2 linked regions of the Caenorhabditis elegans genome follow. The protein of the gene in region 1 interacts with the protein of each later gene in a pairwise test. Each region holds a gene or a part of one and is shown in the gene's direction. Other genes may lie near its edges. The genes, in order: idpc-2 and scrm-8.

Region 1 (3,811 bases):
TCTTATAACTTTTACAGTCCTTCTTGCGCCCTTTTGTTAGTCAAATGTGCAAATTATCTTATAAAAACGTTTTTCATGTTCAGAATCTTAAGGTTATCTTTTGTAAATTACTCAAGTTTTCGAAATCTGTAAAATTACAGAAGTCAAAAACATTCTAGAAACCTCCCTTTGATGTTTTGAACTAGTAATGCATTTACCTTTTCATCAGCATCATCGTCGTCCATTCTACGATTTCCTTTCTTTTTCTTCCCACCTGCACACTGAACCAGCATTGAACCAGTTATAAATAAACCAAGAACAAAGTTCTGAAAAATAAGCGATTAAAAATCTGAAAGAATGAACTTTTGTGGATTACCTGAATGAAGATTAAATAAATCGCATCATGCATATTTCTTATTAATTCTTTGCCGAAAACCTATTGAATACTGGATTTTAAATGAATTGTTTTAGTATGAATCAACTTTCCGTGGAAAATGTCATACACTTTAATTTCTATATAATGAGTTTTTGGTTACTTTTTTTGTCACGTCCTAATGTTTATTCGACTCCTTTTATGGCATTTCTTTCAAATAAATCCAGAACGCAGCTTAATTCTAGAAAAGAGCAAAAGTATAATAAAAAGAAATGAGAACAGTTGTAGAAAGAGAATACACACTTCACACTTTCCGGAATTGAAGTGGTTGACGTTTTTGTGAACGAAAACGAAGCAAGAATCGAAAAATGAATTGGGAAATAAAAAATAGACTGTAGTTTTCTTAAGATAATTTACCATTCTGGGTTCAAAAATTCCAAATACATAAGTGTAACACAAAATGAACAAAAAAACATTTTTTTTTTCGACAATAATGTTCAATCTTTTTGAATTTCTTTCAGCAATCTTCGTTCTTTCAACTGTATGTGGATTTCCTGGTATTTTTTGAGTTATTATTCACACTTTCCGGAATGACAATTGTTTGGTCTTTAACTTGAAAACTAATGGTTTTTGTAAAACAATATTTTACATTAAAAACATGTACCGTATTTCCGTTCTGCATACAATGCTCAATTGAGGTGTTGGACTGAGATTTCAAGATAAATAGATACTGCAGTATACTGCCATAAAAATACATTACCATCAAAAACCAAACACTTTTGAAACCGCTGTGTCAAAATTTTTAGGTACAAATATTTATATAACACTTCAATTCGAGGAAGTTTTATAACCTACAGAAATATTACTCAAAAATTATTTTAGAATTTTTCGATTGACGGCTTATTCTATCATACTTTTAGTAGTTTTACAAAATGTACAAGAGGTTTTTTGGTGGTCCTGTTTGTGTTGAAGATGATTTTATTATTTCAATAAATCTTGCAAACATCGATGGATCCCAATGACGATCATATCGACGCGTCTTGTTTCTTTTTGTTTTCCAAGTTCTCCAAATCAAGATTTTTTCTAAGATCAAACTTTGTGTAAACAACAAACACTAAAATACAAACATGTGAGAACATGTGTACCGAGTCTTCAATTTCAATTACTTCCGGAAATCCGCACTTTCGAACTTTTCACAAAAACGTCGCTTAACTAAATCAAATCATCTTCTTTCCGATGAATGTTAAAAGTTTAACAAAGTTCTAGAACTGTCAAAATGGATTCATATATGAATAAAAAGGTAATCCGGTCGTCGATGAACCTGTCAACCATGCCTTCCCTCCCACTTTTCCCCATTCTGCATGAAACGTCAGTGTATTTGTTTGCTCACCGGCCTAATGATTGCAAAAAGTTGCGATACGGAAAGAAAGGTGCCAATTCGATGAAAATGGTATAAAAGCAGCCGAACGGTGGCACTAATTCATCGGCTTCTTCGTCTTTTCTCCTTTTCTTTCCTTTATTCAGCCAATCATGCATTCAGCCATCGGACTACTTCTGTGAGTCAACCATATCATTGACTAATATCTAAAATTGACTTGACCACTGGTCATTTTCGTACTACTATTATACTAGTCTATACGATTTCCAGATCATTGAACACTGGAAAAACAAATAAAAAACCAAATAATTTTGCAGGGTCATCGCATCGGCTTCGCAAGCTCAAGTCTTATCTGTAAGTTCCATCTTTTTTCATGATCCTCCGCAACATTTTACAAAAAAGAGCTCAAGAAACATAGTACTAACATATTTTCGAAATTAATAGAAATTCCGATTCTACATCTAACAGAATATTATTACTTCAGACAATCTGTGCAAAATAGTGTTAATAATCTTGACTTACACTTTCGAATTACAGCTAAACTGTGCTACTCCACCATGTCCAGAGCCCATGCCAGTGTGTGCTACTCCTCCGTGTCCACCTCAATATGCTCCACTTCCACCCCCACCAATGCCTGCACCAGCTCCAGCTTACAACCCATACCCATGCGCCAATCCTCCATGCATTGTTGTTGAGCCGATGCCAGTTGCTCCACCAGCACCAGCTCCAGCATACAATCCATATCCATGTGCTACTCCACCATGCCCACTTCCATACATTCCTGAGCCAGTTGCTCCAGTCCCAGCTCCAGCTCCAGTTTACGAGCCATATGCATGCGCTGCCCCACCATGCCCACCACCGACTCCAGTCTATGAGCCATATGCCTGTGCCGCTCCACCATGCCCAGCTCCAGTTGCCCCTCAACCAGTGATCCAACATGTTCCAGTACCAGTCCCAGTTCAAGTTCCAGTCCCAATCCGTGTTCCAGTCCCAGTTCCAGTCCCAACTCCAGTCTACCAACCAACATACTGCGCTGTCCCACCATGCCCAGCTCCAGCTGCCACTCCAGTCTACGCTCAACCAGCTCCAAGACCAATGCCAGTCTATGCTCCAGCTCCAGCCTGTGCTCAACCACCATGCCCAGCTTACAACCCATACGGATACCAAGGAACTCCAGGATATGCTCCAGCTTACAACCCATACTCATATGTGCTTAGATCTCCAGTCGCTGCTGCTCCAGGATATGCTCAAGGATACGCTCCAGCATACGCTCAGGGATACGCTCCAGCATATGCTCCATCTTATGCTCCAGCTTATGCCCCATCTCCATTCAGAAGAGCCATGTACCTTTTGGGATCCAACAAGGGAAAGAAGGCCGCCGCCGCCGCCGCAGCTGCCACTGAAGAGAAGAAGAAGACTGCTTAAGGATTTTTAGTGTCTCAATATCTGTACATTTGCCATATTGCTAGTTAATTGTAATTTTAAGTATTTGTTAATTCATTGAAATAAACAATTTCCTAAATTAACTAATCGAAATCTGTCAAATATCACTCCAAACTTGAAGAATGCAAAACGAATATTTTCAATGAAAATTTTCATTTATACAAAAAATGTGCCGTGTGGAACTTGAAAAATAACTGAAAAGCAATATGAGATAAGCAAGGAATGGGGGAGTTGGGGATCGTCATCAGTTGGGGAATTTCAAAATGAGAAATGTACAGAAAATGAAAGTCGCTGGAACCAGTAAAGAAAACGAAAGGATATAAGCCAACTGCTTATGGCTGCCATGCAAGAGCGTATTGTCCGTTCTTCTCGATCTTGCAAGATTTTCCCTCCTTGAAATGAGATTTGTAGGCAAAGTCATCGAGAGCGACGACAGTCTCGAATTTTCCTCCGAGAGATCCTTCGGCTCCCTTTTGAATGGAATCGGCTGATCCGAGCAAGTCATCTCCTCCCATGGCTCCTTTCATGGCTGACTCGAGCTCCTTGTTACAGCAAGTGAAACCTGAAAACTTTATTTTTTATGTAACCAAAATTATATTTAATTTTGCAAGCCCGTATCATTTTTCTATATTTTCTCT
Region 2 (4,245 bases), on another chromosome or scaffold:
TTTAACTTTTGACTTTTCAGGGCTTCGTCCAACTTGTCGCCAACAACATTCTCAGCGCCATTGCCCATACCAACTCTGTGATGGTTGTCCAATGCATCAAACCCCTCGAGATCTTCACCGGATTCGAAACTCCGAATCGCTACGTGGTCCATGACATGTACTGCCGCCCGCTGCTTTATTGTATGGAAAGATCGAACATCTTCGCTCGTCAGTACGAAGGAAACGATCGTAACTTCGGAATGCAGATCATGGATACCCACGGAGCTCAGGTGATGACGTGCTTCAGAGGAAGACCATGCTGCTCGACCGATGATTTTCTGAGCACCCAGTTCCTCGATCAGCAGATTGGGATGATGAAGAAGGAGTGCTGCAATCCTAATGTGAGTGCTAGTATCAAGTAAAACTACAGTAATCCAGAGCCCTGAAGCATTCTTTGGAAAAATCACATTTTTCTCAAAAGAGATCTTTTCGCTGATCTGAGTTTGCATCAATCTTGATCGAGCTTAGAGCCAGGGCTGTGCGGCAAATTTTGAAACTTGCAGTGCTCGGCAAACGGCAAATTTGCCGCACACCCCTGATGCCCTATCTATAGTCCGATCTATAATATATCTGTAACTTGGCACATAGCAACCTAGAGTCTTTCCGCTTTGCTCTGCCGCCCAGCCGCAAGACATTGATACACAAAAGAGAGCAAAGCGGAAGGACTGTAGGTTGCAATGTGCCAAGTTTGTACTGACATAGATATAGACTATAGGTTACTAGACTGTCCAAATGTCTTTCAGTATTAAGATGTTTATCTAGAAAGCCTATTACTTGGTACATAGACGTACAGGTTTCACGCCTTTGCTCTGCCGCCCAGCGGCTAGGCATTGACACACTAAAAGAGAGAAACACAGAGCAAGGCGGAAGGACCGTACGTCACCAATGTACCAAGTTACAGATATAAATTGCACTATACAATTGCACTATACGTAGATCTATAGATCTATATCTATATACCGCTGAACGGCAACATCGGGACTAGCATGACACCTTGTACAAGGGCAAACTCGGCAAATTTGCCGAGCTCAACTAACTCCGAAAAATTTGATGTTTTTTGAAGCACCAAAACTACTGAATTTTTAACGCGGCAAATTCGCCAAATTCGCCAAACTTGCCGCACACCCCTGATCAGAGCAATCGTTCCTATAGGCTGAAGCTTTATTAGCTCTTCACCTGAATCTCCCATCCTCCTTGAGACACATCCTATTAACCTTTTCTTTCAGTTCGAGCTCGTCGGATCCGGCTGCAACCAGCCCCTGCTCATCCAATCTCCAGGTTGTGCAGGCTGTGGTGGCACCCAGAAGTTCCCAGTGATGACCTTCAATGGTGTGCTCGTCGGAGAAATTGTCCGCCTCTACCCGGGATTCATGCAGGAGATGTTCACCGATGCGGACACCTATATTGTTCATTGTAAGCATTTTATTCTAAGCTTCTGATCTTTTCTATCTTAATTTTGGAATATTTCAGTCCCAATGGACATGCCGCCAATCTTGAAGCTTCTGCTTGTCACCTCGGTTTTCCTGATCGACTTCACCTACTTCGAGGATCGTAACCAGGATCAACATCGTAACGGCGGAATGCATAGCGGAATGCATAGCAGCTTCTAAACTTATAAAGGATCCTGTTCACAAATTCACTTGCAAACTAGAATAAACTAGTTTTTTCTGGCTTCTTCTTACTATACCTACTAGCTGATAATTTCTCAGCAAAAGATTGCGTTTTCTGGGCACAAATGACTTGTTAAAATTGCGATAACTAATACACGTGCAGCAGACAACAATTCCGCAGATAATTTCCTATTTTTTTCCAACAGAAATTTAAATCTGACGTGAAGTTCCACATAGTACAATCAGATCAGATTTTCAAAATTAATTTATTTCCGACTTGTGACCAACACTTTTCTATGTGAGTTTTCTTATTTCTCTTGGTTTTCCCTCAAAACCCGCATAATTTTTTCAGAAAATGAATATTCAACCGGGACAGCTACCATTGAAAGCAATTAGCTTAACGTCCGCGGTGAAGTCACCTGAGGAGGTTGAGCAGGATTCAAAGAAGGATGAGCCACGTGCCGAGGGAGCGGGGTTCGGTAGAAGAAACAATGCTGGAACGAAGCTGCCAGCGGCGAGATCGACGCCAATGAAAATTCCGAATCAGGTGGCAGCGATGCCGGTTCAGATGACTGTAAGTCATTCTAGCTAATGGTGACCGCTCTAAATTCTGACTTTTCAGGGCTTCGTTCAGCTTGCCAGCAACAACATCCTCAGCGCAATCGCCCATACCAACTCTCTGATGGTTGTCCAATGCATCGAACCGCTCGAGATCTTCACCGGATTCGAGACTCCAAATCGCTATGTGGTCCACGACATGTACTGTCGTCCGCTGCTTTATTGTATGGAAAGATCAAACGTCTTTGCTCGTCAGTACCACGGAAACAATCGTAACTTCGGAATGCAGATCATGGATACGCACGGAGCCCAGGTGATGACTTGCTTTCGAGGAAGACCATGCTGCTCATGCGATGATTTCCTGAGCACCCAGTTCCTCGATCAGCAGATTGGGATGATGAAGAGGGAGTGCTGTAATCCTAACGTGAGTTTTGGACGATAACCACCGCCAGTAATAACTACAGTACTACATTAAACTACAGTACCCTAACATTTATAGAGGCATGAGAATATAGGAAACATTTTAACAATACATTGTGAACAGTCCTAAAGTGGTGTCAGGCTGTCTCATACCGGTACGATCTACAAAAAATGCGGGTGTTTTCCGCCCAGAAAAGTGTGCCAAAACTGTGCGTCTCAATATTGTAGATCATATGGGACATCATGATACCCCGATAAAACCACAATGCCACGTCCTATGCCGATCATTTTGTGAAAGTAGGGTTGTTAGTCGATGATCTAGGGATCTAAATTGTTCCGAGCTATCACAAGGGAATTCTTATACCTAACACCTTTCATTTGCTAGTCCTAGATTCTTTTAGTTCGAGCTCATCGGATCCGGCTGCAACCAGCCCCTGCTCATCCAATCTCCAGTTTGTGCTGGCTGTGGTGGTACTCAGAAATTTCCAGTTATGACCTACAATGGCGCACTCGTCGGAGAAATCGTCCGCCTCTACCCGGGATTCATGCAGGAGATGTTCACCGATGCGGACACCTATATTGTTCATTGTAAGTTCTTAAGATCCGAATTCTATCTGAATTCCGATATATTTCAGTTCCAATGGACATGCCGCCAATCTTGAAGCTTCTGCTCGTCACCTCGGTTTTCTTGATCGACTTCACCTACTTTGAGGATCGTAACCAGGATCGTCATCATCATGGTGGGATGCATGGCGGAATGCATAGCAGCTTTTGAATTTTTTATGAGCCCATTTCACTTGCAAACTAGAATAAACTAGTTTTTTCTCCACAGTTTTATAGCTAGCTTTTCTGTAATTACAAGCTCACTTTTTTCAGAAGATAATTCTGTTTTTTGGGCACAAGTGCTTAGATTTTTCCCGTACATCCCAAGAAGTAGTTGATTTTTATTTAAAAAAAAAGCTTTGTAATCTGGATGAAAATTCAAATTTTCAACGTGACCCCTTTTCCACCCCTCACGTAACATCTTCTCCCAACATAATCTCCCATTCCTACTATTGTTCATCGTCATCGAATGTGAGTTTTCTATCGCTTCTTTCTGGGACCCCAAAACCTTCCAACTTTTCCAGAAACCAATAAAAATGAATAAACAACCCGGAGAGCAGCCAGTCAGCTGTGCGACTTCAACTGAGAAATCCGAAAAGGAGCCACCGAAGAGCCGAGCGGAAGCTGGAATGATGCGTGGCGGCGGGAGACTTCCACAGCCACGGGATACTCCGATGGAGGTGCCGAATATGGTCGCAGCAATGCCGGTTCAGATGACGGTGAGTAACCTTACGACGCGTTGCGTGTCGCGTTGCGTGTCGCGTTGCGTGTCGCGTTGCGTGTCGTGTCGCGTTGCGTGTCGCGTTGCGTGTCGAGTTGCGTGTCGCGTTGCGTGTCGCGTCGAGTCGAGTGTCGCGTCGAGTGTCGCGTCGAGTGTCGCGTCGAGTGTCGCGTCGAGTGTCGCGTCGAGTGTCGCGTCGCGTGTCGCGTTGCGTGTCGCGTCGAGTGTCGCGTCGCGTGTCGCGTTGCATGTCGCGTTGCGTGTCGCGTTGCGTGTCGCGTCGCGTGTCGCGTT

The links.
Region 2: the proteins of idpc-2 (region 1) and scrm-8 interact in a two-hybrid assay, tested with the Caenorhabditis elegans proteins (one large-scale study listed by BioGRID).

Annotation. Positions count from the first base shown.
Region 1 is NC_003283.11:8,619,368-8,623,178, reverse strand, and holds idpc-2 (Intrinsically Disordered Protein, class C), read left to right. Parts: upstream 1-1,865; 5' UTR 1,866-1,882; coding exon 1,883-1,908; intron 1,909-2,047; coding exon 2,048-2,084; intron 2,085-2,267; coding exon 2,268-3,155; 3' UTR 3,156-3,254; downstream 3,255-3,811. Other genes in the region: F41E6.1 (uncharacterized protein), read right to left, coding at 198-305, 356-388; grd-5 (Ground-like domain-containing protein), read right to left, coding at 3,506-3,735.
Region 2 is NC_003282.8:4,162,775-4,167,019, forward strand, and holds scrm-8 (Phospholipid scramblase), read left to right. Parts: upstream 1-1,917; 5' UTR 1,918-1,947; intron 1,948-2,001; 5' UTR 2,002-2,004; coding exon 2,005-2,223; intron 2,224-2,271; coding exon 2,272-2,631; intron 2,632-3,028; coding exon 3,029-3,215; intron 3,216-3,262; coding exon 3,263-3,402; 3' UTR 3,403-3,456; downstream 3,457-4,245. Other genes in the region: scrm-5 (Phospholipid scramblase), read left to right, coding at 21-380, 1,266-1,452, 1,510-1,649.